Caenorhabditis elegans: one gene and its partner. The protein of the gene in region 2 interacts with the protein of the main gene of each other region in a pairwise test. Each region holds a gene or a part of one and is shown on either strand. Other genes may lie near its edges.

The links. Proteins that work in one complex are often made in the same cells at the same time.
Region 1: the proteins of mcm-6 (region 2) and cdt-1 interact in a two-hybrid assay, tested with the Caenorhabditis elegans proteins (one study listed by BioGRID).

What each region holds. Positions count from the first base shown.
Region 1 is NC_003279.8:3,222,016-3,230,719, reverse strand, and holds cdt-1 (CDT1 Geminin-binding domain-containing protein), read left to right. Parts: upstream 1-2,615; 5' UTR 2,616-2,752; coding exon 2,753-2,818; intron 2,819-2,877; coding exon 2,878-3,841; intron 3,842-4,954; coding exon 4,955-5,807; intron 5,808-6,929; coding exon 6,930-7,101; 3' UTR 7,102-7,560; downstream 7,561-8,704. Other genes in the region: txl-1 (Thioredoxin-like protein), read right to left, coding at 1,022-1,272; rom-5 (rhomboid protease), read left to right, coding at 7,770-7,970.
Region 2 is NC_003281.10:9,792,078-9,800,203, forward strand, and holds mcm-6 (DNA replication licensing factor mcm-6), read left to right. Parts: upstream 1-2,289; 5' UTR 2,290-2,290; coding exon 2,291-2,526; intron 2,527-2,575; coding exon 2,576-2,864; intron 2,865-2,911; coding exon 2,912-3,197; exon of another isoform or gene 3,198-3,218; coding exon of another isoform or gene 3,219-3,434; intron 3,435-3,476; coding exon of another isoform or gene 3,477-3,755; intron 3,756-3,812; coding exon of another isoform or gene 3,813-3,920; intron 3,921-3,965; coding exon of another isoform or gene 3,966-4,138; intron 4,139-4,193; coding exon of another isoform or gene 4,194-4,307; intron 4,308-4,353; coding exon of another isoform or gene 4,354-4,471; intron 4,472-4,746; exon of another isoform or gene 4,747-4,748; coding exon 4,749-6,192; intron 6,193-6,239; coding exon 6,240-6,417; 3' UTR 6,418-6,566; downstream 6,567-8,126. Other genes in the region: R10E11.9 (uncharacterized protein), read right to left, coding at 509-779, 978-1,067, 1,119-1,191, 1,424-1,481; srxa-10 (Serpentine receptor class XA 10), read right to left, coding at 3,219-3,434, 3,477-3,755, 3,813-3,920, 3,966-4,138, 4,194-4,307, 4,354-4,471; ZK632.2 (uncharacterized protein), read left to right, coding at 7,034-7,174, 7,230-7,346, 7,725-8,126.

The DNA.
Region 1 (8,704 bases), on a different chromosome or scaffold from region 2:
TTTTTCGAAACTCTGCAATTTTTTATTTTGTGCTCAACTGTGAAAAAAAATTATAGAATTAGGTTTTCTGAATTTTTTATTTTTTTTTAATTTTTTTTTTTTAATTAAATTTTTTCCAAATATAAGAGAAACGGCTGAAAATTTGATTCTTCGAATTTTTTACAAAAGTTGAGTGAATATTTTTTTTTCGATTATGCGATATCTGAAAAATCGAAAACTTTTCGTTTTTCCTATTTTTTCAAAAAAAGCTCAATTTTTTTTCTTTTTTTTCTTCTTTTTAGAAAAAAATGTATGTTCTCTTATGTTCTTTTTCAGGAACATTAACAAAATTTAGTAAAAAATAAAGTTTATTTTATTGTCAGAAAAAGATTTTTTTTCGATTTTCCGATTTTCCGGAAAATCGAAAATGTTATATTAAGTCTCAGAAATAATTACTAAGGGTAAAGCTTTTAAAGCCTTTTCAATTTCATTTTGAATATCCACAAAATATTGATTTTTCAGGTTTTACGAGCCAATTTGCAAGAAATTTATCGGTTTCCAAATTAAATTTTTTTTAATTAATCAAAACAAGGCTCTGCAATTTTCAATATGCTATAATCCAACTTTTTGATCTAAACTTTATATAGGAATGTAATTTAAAAAAGGTCTGTTCCATGTGAAAAAATTATTTATTTTTTTTGAAAAATTTGAAATAGGCCTCGCACCATTTGAGGCCTTTTTCAAAATTTTCAACAAAAATAAATATTATTTTCAGATGGAACATAAATTTTTTCTACATTTCTATATCAATTTTAGATCAAAAAGTTGGATTATAGCATATTAAAAATGGCAGAGCCCTGTTTTGATTATCTTTAAAAAATTTAATTTGGAAACTCATAAATTTCTTGCAAATTGGCTCGTAAAACCTGCAAAAATCAATATTTTCAAGATATTCAAAATGAAATAATTTCTGAGACTTCACTTTTTTGCAATTTCTTCAAATTTCCCGCATTTCTATTCCAATTCCAGATGAGACCCATACCCGCTCTGGAAAACCATGAACGTTGGCATCGAATTGACACCGTTCTCTGAGCTGGTTTTCTCGCAGATCTCCACATCAACTTTCAGAAAAACTGCTCCAAGATATTGATTGGACAGAGCTTCAAATGTTGGAGCAATCATTTTGCACGGTCCGCACCAGACTGCAGTGAAATCGACAATCACTGACTTGAGACCAGCGAGGGAAAGCTGATTTCTGAAGTCTTCGTCGTCTTTCACGTTGATAACTGGCATGGTGTAGGGGAGATGGGCTGAAAATTAATTTAATATTTAGATTACTGCACTTATTTTTTTAAGGTGGTGTAGTCGAATTTTTTTAAAATTGCTTCATTAGACTCAAAATTGTCTCAAAACACCGAATTTCATGATGAAACTGCTTGAAAACTTCTCAAAAAAAGTTATGACTGCTCAAAAAATGGCCTAAAATTAGTTAAAATTTGAAATTAGACCGACTTTTCAAGCGGCTAAAAACTACCTTTTTTGAAATCACCGTCAAATTTTGAGTATATATAAAATGTAATTATCTTGCGTTTTCAACTCGATTTAGGTATTTTAAAGTCGATGGACGGCGAGATTTGGTTTAAAAAATTTAAAAATCTCGCCGTCCATCGACTTCAAAATATCTGAATCAAATTGAAAATGCAAGATAATATAATTGTATACTCAAAATTAGACGGTAATTTCAAAAAAGTTAGTTTCCAGCCGCTTGACAAGTCGGTCAAATTTCAAATTTTAACTAATTTTAGGCCATTTTTTGAGCAGTCATAACTTTTTTTGAGAAGTTTTCAAGCAGTTTCATCATGAAATTCGGTGTTTTGAGACAATTTTGAGTCTAATGAAGCAATTTTAAAAAAATTCGACTACGCCACCTTTAAAATACGGATTTTTAATCGAAAAATGCAAAATAATCTCAAAAAATGGGAAAAATCCCCAAAATCTAAAGAAAAATTAAAGAAAAAAATTGGGTTTTGAAAAAAGTTGTTATTTTGTAGTTGAATTTGTTGAATTTTTCCCGCTGAAATTCCAATTTTTAAGCTTTCGCATCATTTTTTTTGGGATTTCTGGCAAAAGCTATTGTAAATACTCCCGGAACAATGCACGAATATATTTTAGCTATTTAATACGCAGAAATTGTGAAATTTCGTTATTTTTTGGGCGATTTCTGGGGAAATTTTGACCGAAAAATTGTAATTTCTGGGATCACCGCTTCCAAAATTGTTCAGTTTATAGTTCTAGGAGCAAAAGATATCTCATTCAGAAGAAAAAACGAAAAAAAAATTTCAAAAAATATAGGAATCACGCCAATTTAAATAATTATTCATTAAAAAAAAGATTTTTTGAAGGTTTCCACAGTAAAATGCATTCATTCTCAAACTGATTTTTGGGTAATTTTGGGCATTTTACACGCTAAAATAGGTGAAAAGCACTTTTAAACGCTCTGAACACAATTTTAATATGCAAAAAATAGTATAAATTCCGGAAAATTAAGAAAATCGGCATGAAACGTGGATTTGTCAGCATTCAAAATGAATGCCGGTGCGGCGAGGGAGTGCACGAAGCGTGGAGACGCAGCGGACAACAAACGCGCTCCAATGGACAAAAAGTGCGGGAAACCGGGACTGTTCAAAGTGTACGCTTTGTCTGTCGTCTCTCCCATTTATTTTTTGGTTTTCGCGAATAATTTCGCTGAAATTATTATTTATTCCTGATAAAAATGAGTTCCCGGGTGACTAGATCCAGGTCCCAGACTCCGCAGACTGCTGTAACCGACTTTTTCAAGGTAAATTGGAGTTTGAAGTTATGAATTGCAATTATTTAATGTTTTTTTTTCTTTTTCAGACCACCAGAAAACCGAGAGCAAGAGGAGAAAAGAAGATTATCGATGAAAGCATCACAAAGACCACTACAATTAAAGAAGTACAAATTCCTGCTGCTCCAATCGTCGAGAATAAATCCTCCCGAACTCGCGCTCGGACTCCATCCCGTCAAGCGGAATTATCGAGTTCCGGAACTCCGCCAAAAAAAGCTAGAGAAGCTGAAGCAGAAGCCCCTGAGCTTCCCAAAATCCATGAAGATATTATTCTGGAAAATCCGGCTCCTCAGAAGTCAGCGATCGATAAGCTAATGGAAGCATCCGGCCCAGCGAAAAAGAAGGCTGGAATTCGAACTGTTGCAGATTTACAAGCAAGAATAGCTGCAAAAGGAGCAGCTAAAGCGATTCATGAGCAAAATTTGAAGAACAAAACGAAGCAGGTCGATGATCACGTGGAATTGCTGAAATCTCCGAAGAAACCAGTTATTGTTGAGCATCACAAATCACCTCAGAAATCCAAGGCCGCTCGTAATCTGTTCTCACCGAAGAAGCCAGTTCCAGACTATATTATTCCCGGCTTTAATGTCCTGAAATCGGCCGAAAAAGTTCGCGGAGAGCAGGATGATGCTCACGAAGAAGAGGGAAAACGAATGACTGCAGAGTTTCTGAAGAGCTCACGGCTTATTGATGAAGTTAAGGAGAGTGCACGTCAACGGATTGAACTTCCAACTGCGTATGAACATCTCGCTGATACTTTCAAACGAATCGATCAGATCACTGCGATCTTTATCGGTCAGAATCGAAGCTGTGTGGTTCCTGAGTTGATCAAGAATGTTAAGAATACGTCTGGAAAGGATTTTTCCAATGAACATTTGTCACAAATTCTTCATGTATATCCTCAATCATATCATATTGAGATGCGTGAACAGCGAAAAGCATTCGGCCAGGGCGGGAAGTATGAACTTGAGGTTCGACCGAATCTCGTGGAAGGTTCGTAGCTTTCGGTTGGCAATTTGCAATAAAAACATTTAAAAAATCAGCTATTTCTGACGTATTCCATTAAAATTTAGTGTCAGAAAATAGAAAAAATATTATATTAATCGTAAAATAGCATTCTTTTAAGTTTAAAAAGACTTATCGATTTTTCTTCTCTGTTTGATCACCTCCACACATTTTTGAACTCGAAAATATTTAACGATTAATAAAATATTTCTCTATTTTTTAACAGACCCTATTCATGCTCCTGATACTGATTTTTGATGTGAAAATTTTTCAAAAAATTCAAAAAAAAAGCCCTGGTTTTATATTAATTTTTGGAAATTCTAAAAATACTAGCTTTGCTCAAAAAAAAACTGAAAAAAAACACAATTTTCTCTTCAAAAAGTAAGAAAAAACACAGCTTTTTACCAGATGTTCGAAAAAAAAACTTTTTTGTTTAAAAAATCCAAAAAAAAAACAATTTTTTAGTAAAAAAATTCGAAAAAACTCAATTTTAAGAAAAAAATCCGGGAAAAAAACACCGTTTTTTAGTCATAAAATCGGAAAAAAGATAATTCTTTATTCAAAAAATCCGAAAGAGCTCAATTTTTTAGTCATAAAATCCGATAGAACAGCGTTTTTTGTAAAAAAAACCGAAAATACCGAATTTTTATTCAAAAAATCCGAAAAAAAAACACAATATTTCAGTCAAATAATCCGAAACAACGCTATTTATAAATTGGAAAAAACACCATTTTTTGTTCAAAAAATTAGAAAAAAACAATTATTTTTAATTTAAAAAATCTGGAAAAAACACAATTTTAAGTCGAAAAATCGAAAAAAAAAGACACATTTCTTTAGTCAAAAAAATACGAAAAAACACCTTTCTTGTTCAAAAATCCGAAAAAAACGCAATTTTTTAGTCATAAATGCGAAAAATACGCAATATTTTAGTTTAAAATATCTGAGAAAAACACAATCTTTGTGGCCAAACATTGAAAAAAACACCTTTTTTTGTTCAAAAAATCCCAGAAAAACGCAATTTTTTAGTTATAAAATTCGAAAAAACCCCAATTTTTAGTCAAAAAAAAGTTTCCTGCTTACAAAAAACCTTTTTTTTTGCAGATCTACGAGGCTACATTTACGAAAAATCCCCCACCGACGGCGACACCGAAGATCTTCCACTAGTCTGCCCATCAAAGCTGCTCTCCCCAAAGAAAAGCCCCAGAAAACAAGTTCAACCGGCTCTCCGAAAGCCAGAAGTCGACGGGAGGATTCGCCTGGACGCTGCTCGTCAAAGAGACCGAGCTCATGTTTTCCGTTATAAGTTGGCCTCGATTGTCACGAAATGTCATACGGAATTTTTGGAATCTCAAGGATTATGTGCTTCTTCGAATATTAAGAGAATGCATCCATTATTCCGACTTGACAAGCATTGTCCATCACTGCCGCAGGTGAAACTTCCAGAACCTCCTCTACAGAAATCATCGATTCATATTGGAATGAAAGAAGCTTTAGATAAATATATGGATCAAGTATCTCTACCATCATTTGTTCAAAAAGCTTATCAAGACTTAAAATCTCCACTGAAATCAACTACAGGAGCATCTGGAACAGTTCCAATCTCGCCGAAAAAGTTCTCCGAGATGCAAAAAGAGCAGAAGAGCCAGGGAGCAATGTCACTTTTAGAGCGTATTCGTGCGAAGGAAGCAATCAAAAAGGCGGCTGAAGCTTGTATTGATAAGGATCTTGAGAGAAGAAAGCAACGTCTAACACTGCTCCGTGACCGATATGTTCGAATTGTGTGCAATCATTATACGGCGAAACGGGCTCAGACGATGGAAATTGATGTGATTTGCAAATTTGTGCAGTTCAGCTCGTCCAACTCGTCTTCGATTCCTGATATTATGGATCATTTGAGATTGTTGTGTGAGGTCGCACCGATGTACATCTCTGAAGCTAGTTTAATGAACAAAAAGTTCGTTTTTTCTCGATTTTGAGCCATTTTTGCGAATTCTTTTGCATCGAAATCGAAAGAAAAAACTTGAAAATTGGATGATTTCGGCGAACTTTAAAAAATTGTTTTCAAAAAATGTTGAAAATTCGCAAATTTTTTGAAATAAAATGTCTGAAAAAATGTTTAAAATTCATTGAAAAATCGGAAATTCTCTTAAAAATGCTGAAAACTCTAGAAAGCAGCAAATTAGTAAAAAAAAAATATCAGAACATTTGCAAAAATGGGAATTTTCAGAAAATTCAACTTTTTTTTTGAAAATTAAAAAAAAATCTCGATTTCGGGTCATTTTTGCAAATTCTTTTGCATCGAAATTGAAAGAAAAATCAATCTTGAAAATTTCGCAAGTTTTAAAATATAATTTTCCATAAATTCGCGGTGGTTTTTCAGAAATTTTTGAAAAATATCAAAGAATTTTTAAAAAGTTATGAAAAAAATCGGAAAATTTGATTTTAAAAATTTCTTTGTCTCGATTTACGCAGACGGTGTACTCCACGAGGAGAAGAGTAGTTTTTGGATATGGTGCTCGATTTTGTATGATTTCTGCAAATTTTTTTTCTTTTAAAAATTCGTCTGAAAATTTTTGAATTTTTTTAAAAATTCATTGAAAAATCGGAAATTCCTGAAAATTAGCAAAAATGTTTGGAGATTTTTAAAAAATTCGAAAAAATTGTTTGTAAAAAATCCTGAAAATTCCCAAAAAAAAAATTATGACAATTTTCTGCGAGAGTTTAAAATATTACAGATTTTTTTAAATTTTGAAAAATATCTAATATTCTCGAAAAATTCGCCTTGGAAAATTTCGAAAAATTCATTTTAAAAATAGGAAATTCAAAATTACTACTTTAGCATTAAAAAAATCATAAAAATTCTCCAAATTTTTTAGAAGTTTCCAAAAAAAAAATCGCAAAAATTAAATTTGTGGTTTTCCAACAATAAATGGACCAAAATCAAAAATTTCCACCAAAAAAAACATAACTTCTCCTCGAGGAGTACACGAGCTCCGTAAATCGACACAGACATTTGTGAAAAAAATTACTTGAAAATCGTAAAATTTCAACAAAAAAAATTCTAATTTTTTTCCAGATACTTCCGATTCACCGACAACAACATTGAAGCAATCAACGAGTTGCTCGATGAAGAGCTCCAAATTACTCAGAAAAAGATTGATGAGCAACGAAACACCCAAATTGCACAAATGAGCCACCACCACACACCACGGCCATCCAAAGCAGCAAGATCTCTCAAATTTCATTAAAAACTAATTTCTAAGCCATTTGTAACTAATTTTCTCACTTTTCTCTCATAACATTCCTGCAATTTTTAATTTTTTTCCAAAGAATTTCCAGAAATTTCAAAGATTTTTGAGCATTTTTCGATTTTTTCACGAATTTTCCGGAAAAAAATCGGAAATTTTTCAATACAATTCTCCAAAAAATTCCCGAAAAATCACAAAATTTCCACTATAACTTCTCGAAAATCTTTGTAATTCCTGAACATTTTCAAAGAATTTCTAAAAATTCTCAATTTTCCAGAATTTCTTTGAAAATTCCTGAAAAAATCGGAACTTTTCCAAAAAATCCGTCACTTGTAACTATTTTTCTTCTCGTTTTTTCTCTCATGCTCTGTACCATTTTCCAATTTTTTTTCACTTTTTTCCAAGTTATCACTCTTGCAATTTCAAATTTAAAATTTCAAATAAATCAAAACGTTATTTAGAAAATTAAAATGGAATTAAAATTTTTATTCCAAGCTGTTATTCATTTTCAGCGTAAAAATTATTTTCCGCTTGGCGCATTTTCGGTGCATTGCTGGCGCATTTCGCGATCCGTTTTTCAACCGTTTATGTATTTTTCATCATTCTTCAATGAAAAACTAAATTTTTAAAACAAAATTCAATTTTTCTATAATTTTTCAATTCAGAAAATGCTCAGTAATCGCCTCGTTGGCTTTCTTTGCTCCCGGTCATTCACAAAATGCACAAGCCTGCCGAGCCGATTCACACGTGACGGATTACGGGATCGATTACGACAGCAGGAGCTCAAAGAGCTCACGAAAAATCATCAGATTAAGCAGGCGTTTAGTCCAGACGCTAGAACTGTCAGGCCGATGTCGGATTTGTGGAAAGTACGGGATTTTTTATTTTTTAGTTGAAAATTAGTAAAAAAATCAGTTTTTTCGGCGAAAATTGAAGTAGAAAAGGTTTTTTTTTTGTGTAAAAAATATCAAAAATTCATTGAAAATTGAAAGAAAAAGCGAAAATTTTCTAAAAAAAAAATTCAAGAAATCCGCATATTTTCTCTTGAAAAATATCAAAAATTCGCTTTAAAAAATGCCAAAAATCGGAAAAAATGCTGAGAAATGAATTTTGCGCCTAAATTAGTTTAGAAAGTTTATTTTTTCGGCGAAAATCTCCTCAAAAAGTCAAAAAATTTACAAATTTTTGTTCTAAATTAACAAAAATTTGTTAAAAATTGAAAAAAAAAATAACGAAAAAAGACGTTTTGCGCTCAAATTAATTTGATAATTTCAACTTTAAAAATCTTTATTTATTTCAGTGAAATTTCAGAGCAAAATTGGTTTTTTTTGCCAAAAATTTTCAAAATTCAAGAAATCGCAATATTTTTTGCCTAAAAAGTACCGAAAATTGACAAAAACCGGAAATTAATTAAAAATTTTAATTTTGCATCAGGAAACACATGATTTTTGGCGTAAATCTCTAAAATTGTTAACAATTCAATTCTTTAACAACAAAACTCGCTTTTTACTATTTTGAGCCGGTACCTGGTCTCGACACGACAAATTTTTCGTAAGTGTGAGCCTTTAAAGAGTACTGTAGTTTCAAAAACTTTTCAAGGCAC
Region 2 (8,126 bases):
AGCACACGTTTCTTGAATTGAATTACAAATATATACGAACCAACAGAAAAAGAGAGAGGTGGATGGATAGAAATGAGCAAACTGATGTTGACAATAGCTTCTGTGAAAGGTGTTGAAGGGGAGAAAATAGTTGTAAAATTGTGAAAAGAAATGTGAAAAATGAAGCAGGAAAGCAATTTGAGAAAATTGCAACGAGGTACCTGGGAAAGAAAATTGTTTAGAAAAACAAGGAGCTATTCGTTTTGGAGACTGAAAAATCAAAGAGCGACTTGGTAGGTAAACTAAAATATTTAGTTTACCTACCAAGTCGCTCTTTGATTTTGAAATATTTAGTTTACCGCAGAGAAAATTATTCTACATACATCTATTTTTGCATCACTTGCGTTTAAGTCTACAAATGGAATTTGAAATTTGTAAAATCCTTGAGGAAATATGGCACTTTCAAGGAAAATGAAAATCGGAACGTTTTAATTTTTCAAAAAAAAATCCAATTGAGCAGAATATATAATTATTGAAAATATTGATAATCCAGTTCTTGATCTCTAGCAGCTGCATAAGACCTTCTTTTATCAGTTTCCTCGTAGCTTCTTCGGAGTTCCCATTGAGTTCCAGAATCTATTGTTGAACTGCTAATTGTTTGAATTTGTGAGTCTTTCTTTGTTGGCTTCTTTTCTGGTTCAATATTTGAAGATTTCTTTTTTCTTCCAACGAATATCCAAGAAACACAACAACAGCAACATACAAGTAAGAGAAGAACAAGAAGAATTACTCCGATTATTCTGAAAAAAGTTTAGTTTTCAAGATGTTCCTGTTTAAGATGTTCCAAATTAAGAAATCCAAAATTTCATCCCCTTATAGGGATGTTCTGAGAGATGTCTCATTCTACTACAGATGCTCAAATGAAAACTTAAATTTCTTCTGTGGATTTATATGACTTAGATGTGGATCTAGTTAGAGCTACTTTACAAAAAGCTTACATGGGTTCTTGTCTAAATCTCCAACAACAGTTTTCCAAGAACTCTCCACAACATTCATAATATGTGAAGAAAGAAGCAGTTGGACACCTCCTAAACGAGAAAAACGGAATTATTTGCCAATTATAATATTCTCCAACTTACATTGGAGCAGGTCGTGGTGAGTTAAAATACCACGGTCGGCGGCAAATGACGTCATTGTATGATTGAGATTTAACTGAAACAATTCTTTGACAAGGTATTTTAATAAAATTCATCATATTTTCCAATAAACTTGAAGCTAGGTGAGAAATATGGCTTGTAGCACCGAGATCGTGTCGAGACCCACTCAGAAATCCAGCGTGCGCCTTTCAAAATTAAATGGAAATCTCTAAAAAATGTTTATAGGTGAATTTCATCATACTATAGCGCCTTTTGAACTTTGAACTTTTAAAATTGTCGAAACTCACCATTTGAGATCAGAGTTAGATTTAAAATCAAAACGAATAATTTAAAGAGAAAGTGCATACTTATCGATAAAGCAGTATAACACAACTTTTCTGTCGACAAAGCTTGGAAGTTGTAGTGTCCAGAAAGCAAACATACACATATTCTCGCATAAGTTTCCTCGGCCTGTTGCGCACGTCTGACTCATATTTATTCATTCTAAACATCGCCCGAATTTCTGAAATTCTAAGAAGTACAGTAACCCGAATGGTCTCAAGGTAACCTATCTCCCCTTGAAATTAATTCAAGTTTGAATGAGAATTTTGCATGTTTCAAATTTTTCGTGACTCTCAATAACTACTGATTCTTGAAGTCTACATTACAGGCTATTAAATTAGAAATCGTAGGCCCGATTTTTATCAAAGTACCGTACCGTGTGAGTTTCAAGGGAGGCACGTTTTTGGGAAATGGTCTTGCGACGACATGGCAAGAATTGTTATTTTTTAAAGCGCCTTTTTCTGTTTTTGATTTTTCCCAATAAGTTTTTTATTTTATTCATAAAATATATCTTTTACATCTGAAAAAGCAAGTTTCTGAATGACAATGAATTTCTGTCGAAATTCAAATTCACAGCCGCACAGTTTTCGCGCCTAATTTGTCTGCGTCTCTTTACCGCGCACACTGTTTCGTCTACAACACTCCAGTGTTTCGGTACGCAGGTTGCCGCCAAAATTGAGTTTTGAATTTTAGGTGTCTTATTTCTCGTCGTTTTCCCGCATTCTCATTGTTTTCCTCTTCAGATTGCACCGACTTCCTGAATTTCTAGTTCTCTTTCTTACTTTTTCGATTAAGAAAGTTGCCTTAATTCTTTTTAAATCAATTCTTTCAGCATGGACAACATTATCGGCGGTCAAGCCCAGCAAGTGGAGGACACCGACGGAACTCGTGTGCAGAACGAGTTTTCCAAGTTTTTGAAGAGCTTCAAAGACCAGAAAAATGAGTTTATCTACAAATCTGCGATGAAGGAGCTCGTGCAACCAGAAAAGAATACCATTTTCATTAACATGCAACATCTCTACAAGTTCAGTAACAATCTCGCAACAACTATCGAGCTGCAATACTACAGGTAAATTAAATTCGATTAGTATTTTCGAATACTTATAAATATACTTCAGGGTCTATCCATTCATGTGCGAAGCTCTACACTTGGCCACTTTAGATGCTTGTGATGAAAGTGAGAGACAGCAAATGTTCAAGAAGCAATTGTACGTTTCGCTGTTCAATCTCGATGCGAAAACGAAAGTTCGTGAGCTTTCTGCGGACAAAGTCGGAGGCCTCGTGCGCATTGCCGGTCAGATTGTCCGAACTCACCCAGTGCATCCAGAACTTTCACGGGCTTGTTTCGTGTGTGAGGATTGCGGTGTTACCACACGTGATGTTCAACAGCAGTTCAGATACACTCAGGTATGCGGAGATAATAATTAGCTTATAACGAATTCAAATGTTTTCAGCCAACTAAATGTGCTAATCCTCAATGCATGAATCGTACCAGATTCAGTCTCGATGTCAACTCATCTACTTTCGTCGACTTCCAGAAGATTAGAATTCAGGAGACTCAAGCAGAGTTGCCTCGTGGATCAATTCCACGTACTGTCGATGTGATTGTTCGAGGAGAAATGGTTGAAACTGTCCAACCAGGAGATAAATGTGACATTGTTGGAACTCTTATCGTCATTCCAGATATTGCTCAATTGAGCACTCCTGGACTTCGTGCTGAGACTTCAAATCAGAACAGAGGTAAACAATTTTATTCGAAACTCATTTCTTAGTGGAAGTAGTTGTCGCAGATACCTTGATTGTCTTCTTTTTCGCTGGTTTCATACAGAAAACTCTTTCTCGAACAAAATCCATATAGATTTTTCTGGTAACAGGGGTAAAAATGAAGTATACTAGAAATACATGGCATGGCACCTGAGCTAGTCGAAAATAAGTGAATGCGAGCTTTCCGTCAAGCGAAAGATTTCCAAAGAGTTCCTGAAAACTTGCATAGTAAACGCTATTTCGTTGAATTTATACCGGAACAACTCGTAGAACAAGACTTGTTAGCTCATATACAGAAAGATAGAAAGCAGTGATAAAAGCTTGAATCATAAGCATTCGTTCAGTCTTCTTTTTCGCTTTTAAAACATCCGAAGGCATTGATGTAAACTGATCTCCATTCCCACGTCGGAACATATTTTTGATCTTTGTATATGTTGGTGATCTTTGAAGTTTGAAGTTTATAATAACTAGCACATTGAAAAAGAATGCTACGAACGGAAAGAATACAGAGTAATAATTGGAGAACGTTGTGATCTACAAATTAAATTATTAATTTTTGTAACACAGATATCATCCGTAGATCTACTTTACCTGATGCCTGTCTGGTGCACATTCAGATATGAATCCAACTTTTCGTATATCATAATTTATCCGACACTCACTCAGATAGGGAATAATAAGACATGCGAAATTGGCAGTCTGAAGAATAAATGTATCATTTGAAATCTTAGCATTTCAAGATACCATATGAAATGAAGTATAGAGCCATATTTTGCTAGAAGTGAAAAGCTGAGATGCCTGCATACTCACAACTACTGCTATTCGATTAATAGTCATCAGAATAAGTGTGAGCATTGGATGAAGATAATTGAACGTTACACCCACCGAAATCATAGCTCCTATTGAATCCCGATATGCTGAAAATATAGATTAGAAAATATATCCTTCCTCATGTGTCCGGACAGTTATTACTTTTATATGTTTTATCGGACATGTAATAGGGGAGTATGTAGACCATTATTCCGAATATGACTAGAAGTGCGTTAGAAATTGCCATGTTATAGATGTATGTGGCTGGTAGAGCATCTGAAATGAGATTTTTAAAAAAATAAAATCCCGAATTTTTCGTAACTGTTTTTAGAAGTTTTTATTGCCAGTGATAAAGTAATACAGTAGAATAAATTGAACACCGAACATGTCTCGTAAACCCATAGAGCAATACGCTTAACAACGGCAGCATCCACATCCATTTGTAGAAAAAAGAAACACACCAGCAGGTTGAATAATGTAGGAACCAATGGTTGGGTAGTATTCTTTTGGAAGATGTGATTATATGGACTCCTCGTTTCTCGATAATGTGGTGATTTTGATTTTATTAGCATCTAGTATTCGAACAATTATGGTCACGTGGAACGAGGAAGTAGAATTGATTTTCAGTGACTAGTGATTCCTATGGTTTCATAAATTTAAATATATATTTTAAGAAAAAAAACTAGCGAGACTCAACAATAATCTGATTTTTTACAGGCAGAGCGACCGATAAAAGCGAAGGAATCACTGGATTGAAAGCTCTTGGAGTCCGTGATCTTACCTATAAAATGGCATTCTTGGCTTGTCATATTCAACAAACCGAGAGTCTTGTTGGTGGAGATGCTTCGGGAGCTGTTGAGGAGACTGATTATCTTGATTTATGGTCGAAAATGTCAACAGAAGATCGTGCAACACTGAAGAAAATGAGTGACGATAAGAAAATCGAGAAGAACATTGTCGATTCACTTTTCCCGAACATTTATGGAAACCACGAAGTTAAGCTTGGAGTTCTTCTGATGCTTCTTGGAGGTGTCGCGAAGAAGAGCAGGGACGAAGGAACTTCACTGAGAGGTGATATCAACGTTTGTCTTGTTGGAGATCCATCAACTGCCAAGTCGCAAGTTCTGAAAGCTGTGGAAGAGTTCAGTCCAAGAGCTATTTACACTTCTGGAAAAGCATCTTCAGCTGCTGGTCTGACTGCTGCTGTTGTAAAAGACGAGGAATCGTTCGAGTTTGTCATTGAAGCTGGAGCTCTCATGCTTGCCGACAATGGAGTTTGTTGTATTGATGAGTTCGACAAAATGGACCTCAAGGATCAGGTTGCCATTCACGAGGCAATGGAACAACAAACCATTTCCATCACCAAAGCTGGAGTCAAAGCAACATTGAATGCCCGTGCATCAATTCTTGCCGCTGCAAATCCAGTTAATGGACGTTATGATAGAAGTCGTCCGTTGAAGTATAATGTCCAGATGTCAGCTCCGATTATGTCACGTTTCGATCTTTTCTTTGTGTTGGTCGATGAGTGCAATGAAGTTACTGATTACGCTATTGCCCGTCGGATCCTTGATAATCATCGTGCGATCAGTGAGCATACTGAACGTGACAGTGTTTACAAAATTGATGATATCAAGAAGTATATCGCGTTTGCTCGTTGCTTCAAGCCGAAGATTTCGGATAAAGCTGCTGAAACTCTTGTTCGAGAGTACAAGAAACTTCGTATGTCTGACAGCAACAATGCAGCCACGTCATCATGGAGAATCACTGTTCGTCAATTGGAGTCTCTCGTTCGTCTGTCTGAGGCTCTTGCTCGTCTTCACTGTGGAAAGGAAGTACTGGTGGAACATGTCGAAAAGGCTGCCGAACTTCTCAACAAGTCTATCGTCAGAGTTGAGCAACCAGACATTGCTTTGGATGATGACGACTTTGACAACAATATCATGGTTGTTGAAGCAGACAAAGAGAATCAAAGAGGAGATGATAGTATGGATCATGATGGAGAGAAGGAAAATGCTCCGAAGATTGATATAGCAAAGCTCAAAATCTCATTCAAGGAATACAAGCAATTGTCTGATGTTCTCGTTTTACATATGCGATCCGATGAAGACAATCAAGGAGAAGACGAGTATGATGGTGTCAAGCAGAGTGCACTTGTTGAATGGTTTGTTTAAATATTCAAATATTTAAATTTAAATTTCTGGTTTTTAGGTACTTGTCGACAATCGAAGCAGATTTGGAGACGGAGGAAGACTTCAACGTACAAAAGACTATTTGCGAGCGTGTAATTCATCGTCTCATTCACCAGGATCACGTTCTTCTTGAAGTTGAGCAAGGAGAAGATCCAACTCTCTGTGTTCATCCGAACTATGTTATTGCCGACGAATAATTGAAATAATTGCTTCCCGTGTGTATTGATCTCTTATCCAGGCTCTTTTACCGTTTATCATTATTTTTATCATCATCATCAACTCACTAATTTGCAATTAACTTGAGTATGACTATCACCGGAACTTTTGTGAATGAATTTTCATCAATATTTCCAAACTATTGCTATGTGTTCAAAGTGAAAAATGTATGGGCTGCGGCCTAGTTTCATTGACGGCCATGTACTTCTCGTGGACAACTTTCGCAAACCGAATCTTTTAGTTATCCAGATGTAAAATATTGGGATTTCTGTGCCAAAAACACGGTACCTAGTCTCGAAACGATAAATGTTTGTTAAATGAAAACGGATGTGCGCCTTTAAAGAGTACTGTAATTTACAGATTCATATTTTTTTGTTTTTTTTCTCCCGTTTTTCGATAATTCATGTTTTTAATGTTATTCTTGAGCTTGCTAATGAATAATCTTATTTTTATTTTAAAAAAACGATGAAAATCCCTTTAATTTAAAATTACAGTATTCTATAATGGTGCACATCATTTTTTCCTCAAACCTTTTTCGTGCGGAGACCGGCTACCGTATTTTTAGCTCAGAAATCAAATAATAAATATTTCAGCGTAATGTCTGAATCAGACGGAGCCTTCAAATCACCAAGTTTACCTCCATCTCATCATGCTCCGGCTCCAATGTCGCCTGAAAAAATTCGAGCTCCCGCTGAACAGATGGACGGTCCAGTTGAAGGAGTTATTGATGAAATTGAGGTTTGAAAAATATTTATTGATTATATATATATTGAAATAATCATTTTTCTTTCAGACTGCGGAAGTTCAAGCTGAAAAAGAATCGAAAATTTCAGTGCAAGCACCAGCTCTACACTATGAAGTGCCTCCTTGGGCTTGTGAACCGGATCCAGCTCATAAATTTCAGTTTGAGGTACATATTACCCAGACGCGAAATTTTGCACAAAAAATTCGGTACCCGGTCTCGACACGAAAATTTTTTGTTAAATGTAACAACGTCTGCTCCTTTAAAGTACTGTAGTTTTTTTTTCGATATGAATTAAATTAATTTATTAAAAAACCTGAATATGCAAATATATTACATTTCAATTTTGACAAATCGAGAGAAAAACTATGAAAATTCGGTGAAAATTAAGCAGCAATGAAAATTTGAAATTACAGTACTCTTTAAAGGCGCACATATTCTCGCATTTAACAAAAATTGTAGTGTTAGGACCAGAAACCGTAATTTTAATGCTAATTTTCTCAATTTTTCTGTTGATACAAAATAAAATAAAAACAATTTTTTCAGATTCTGAAAGAAGGAAAATTAATTGCTTCGTATGATTTGTCAAATCGAAAGAATTCAACGTTCGTAGTTATCGGAAGAATCAAGCCAGGATGTGATCTTTTAATGGAACATCCATCAATTTCAAGATATCACTGTATTTTACAATATGGAAATGATAAAATGTCAAAAACTGGAAAAGGATGGCATATTTTTGAATTGGGAAGTACCCATGGAAGCCGTATGAATAAAAAACGATTACCACCGAAACAATACATCAGAACCAGAGTTGGATTCATTTTTCAGTTTGGAGAAAGTACTCGAATATTGAATTTTGTTGGGCCTGAAGAGGATTCAGAGCCGGAATGGGATTGTTCACCAACTGAAATGAAGTTAAGAAAACACAAAAAAGAATTGGAAGCAAAA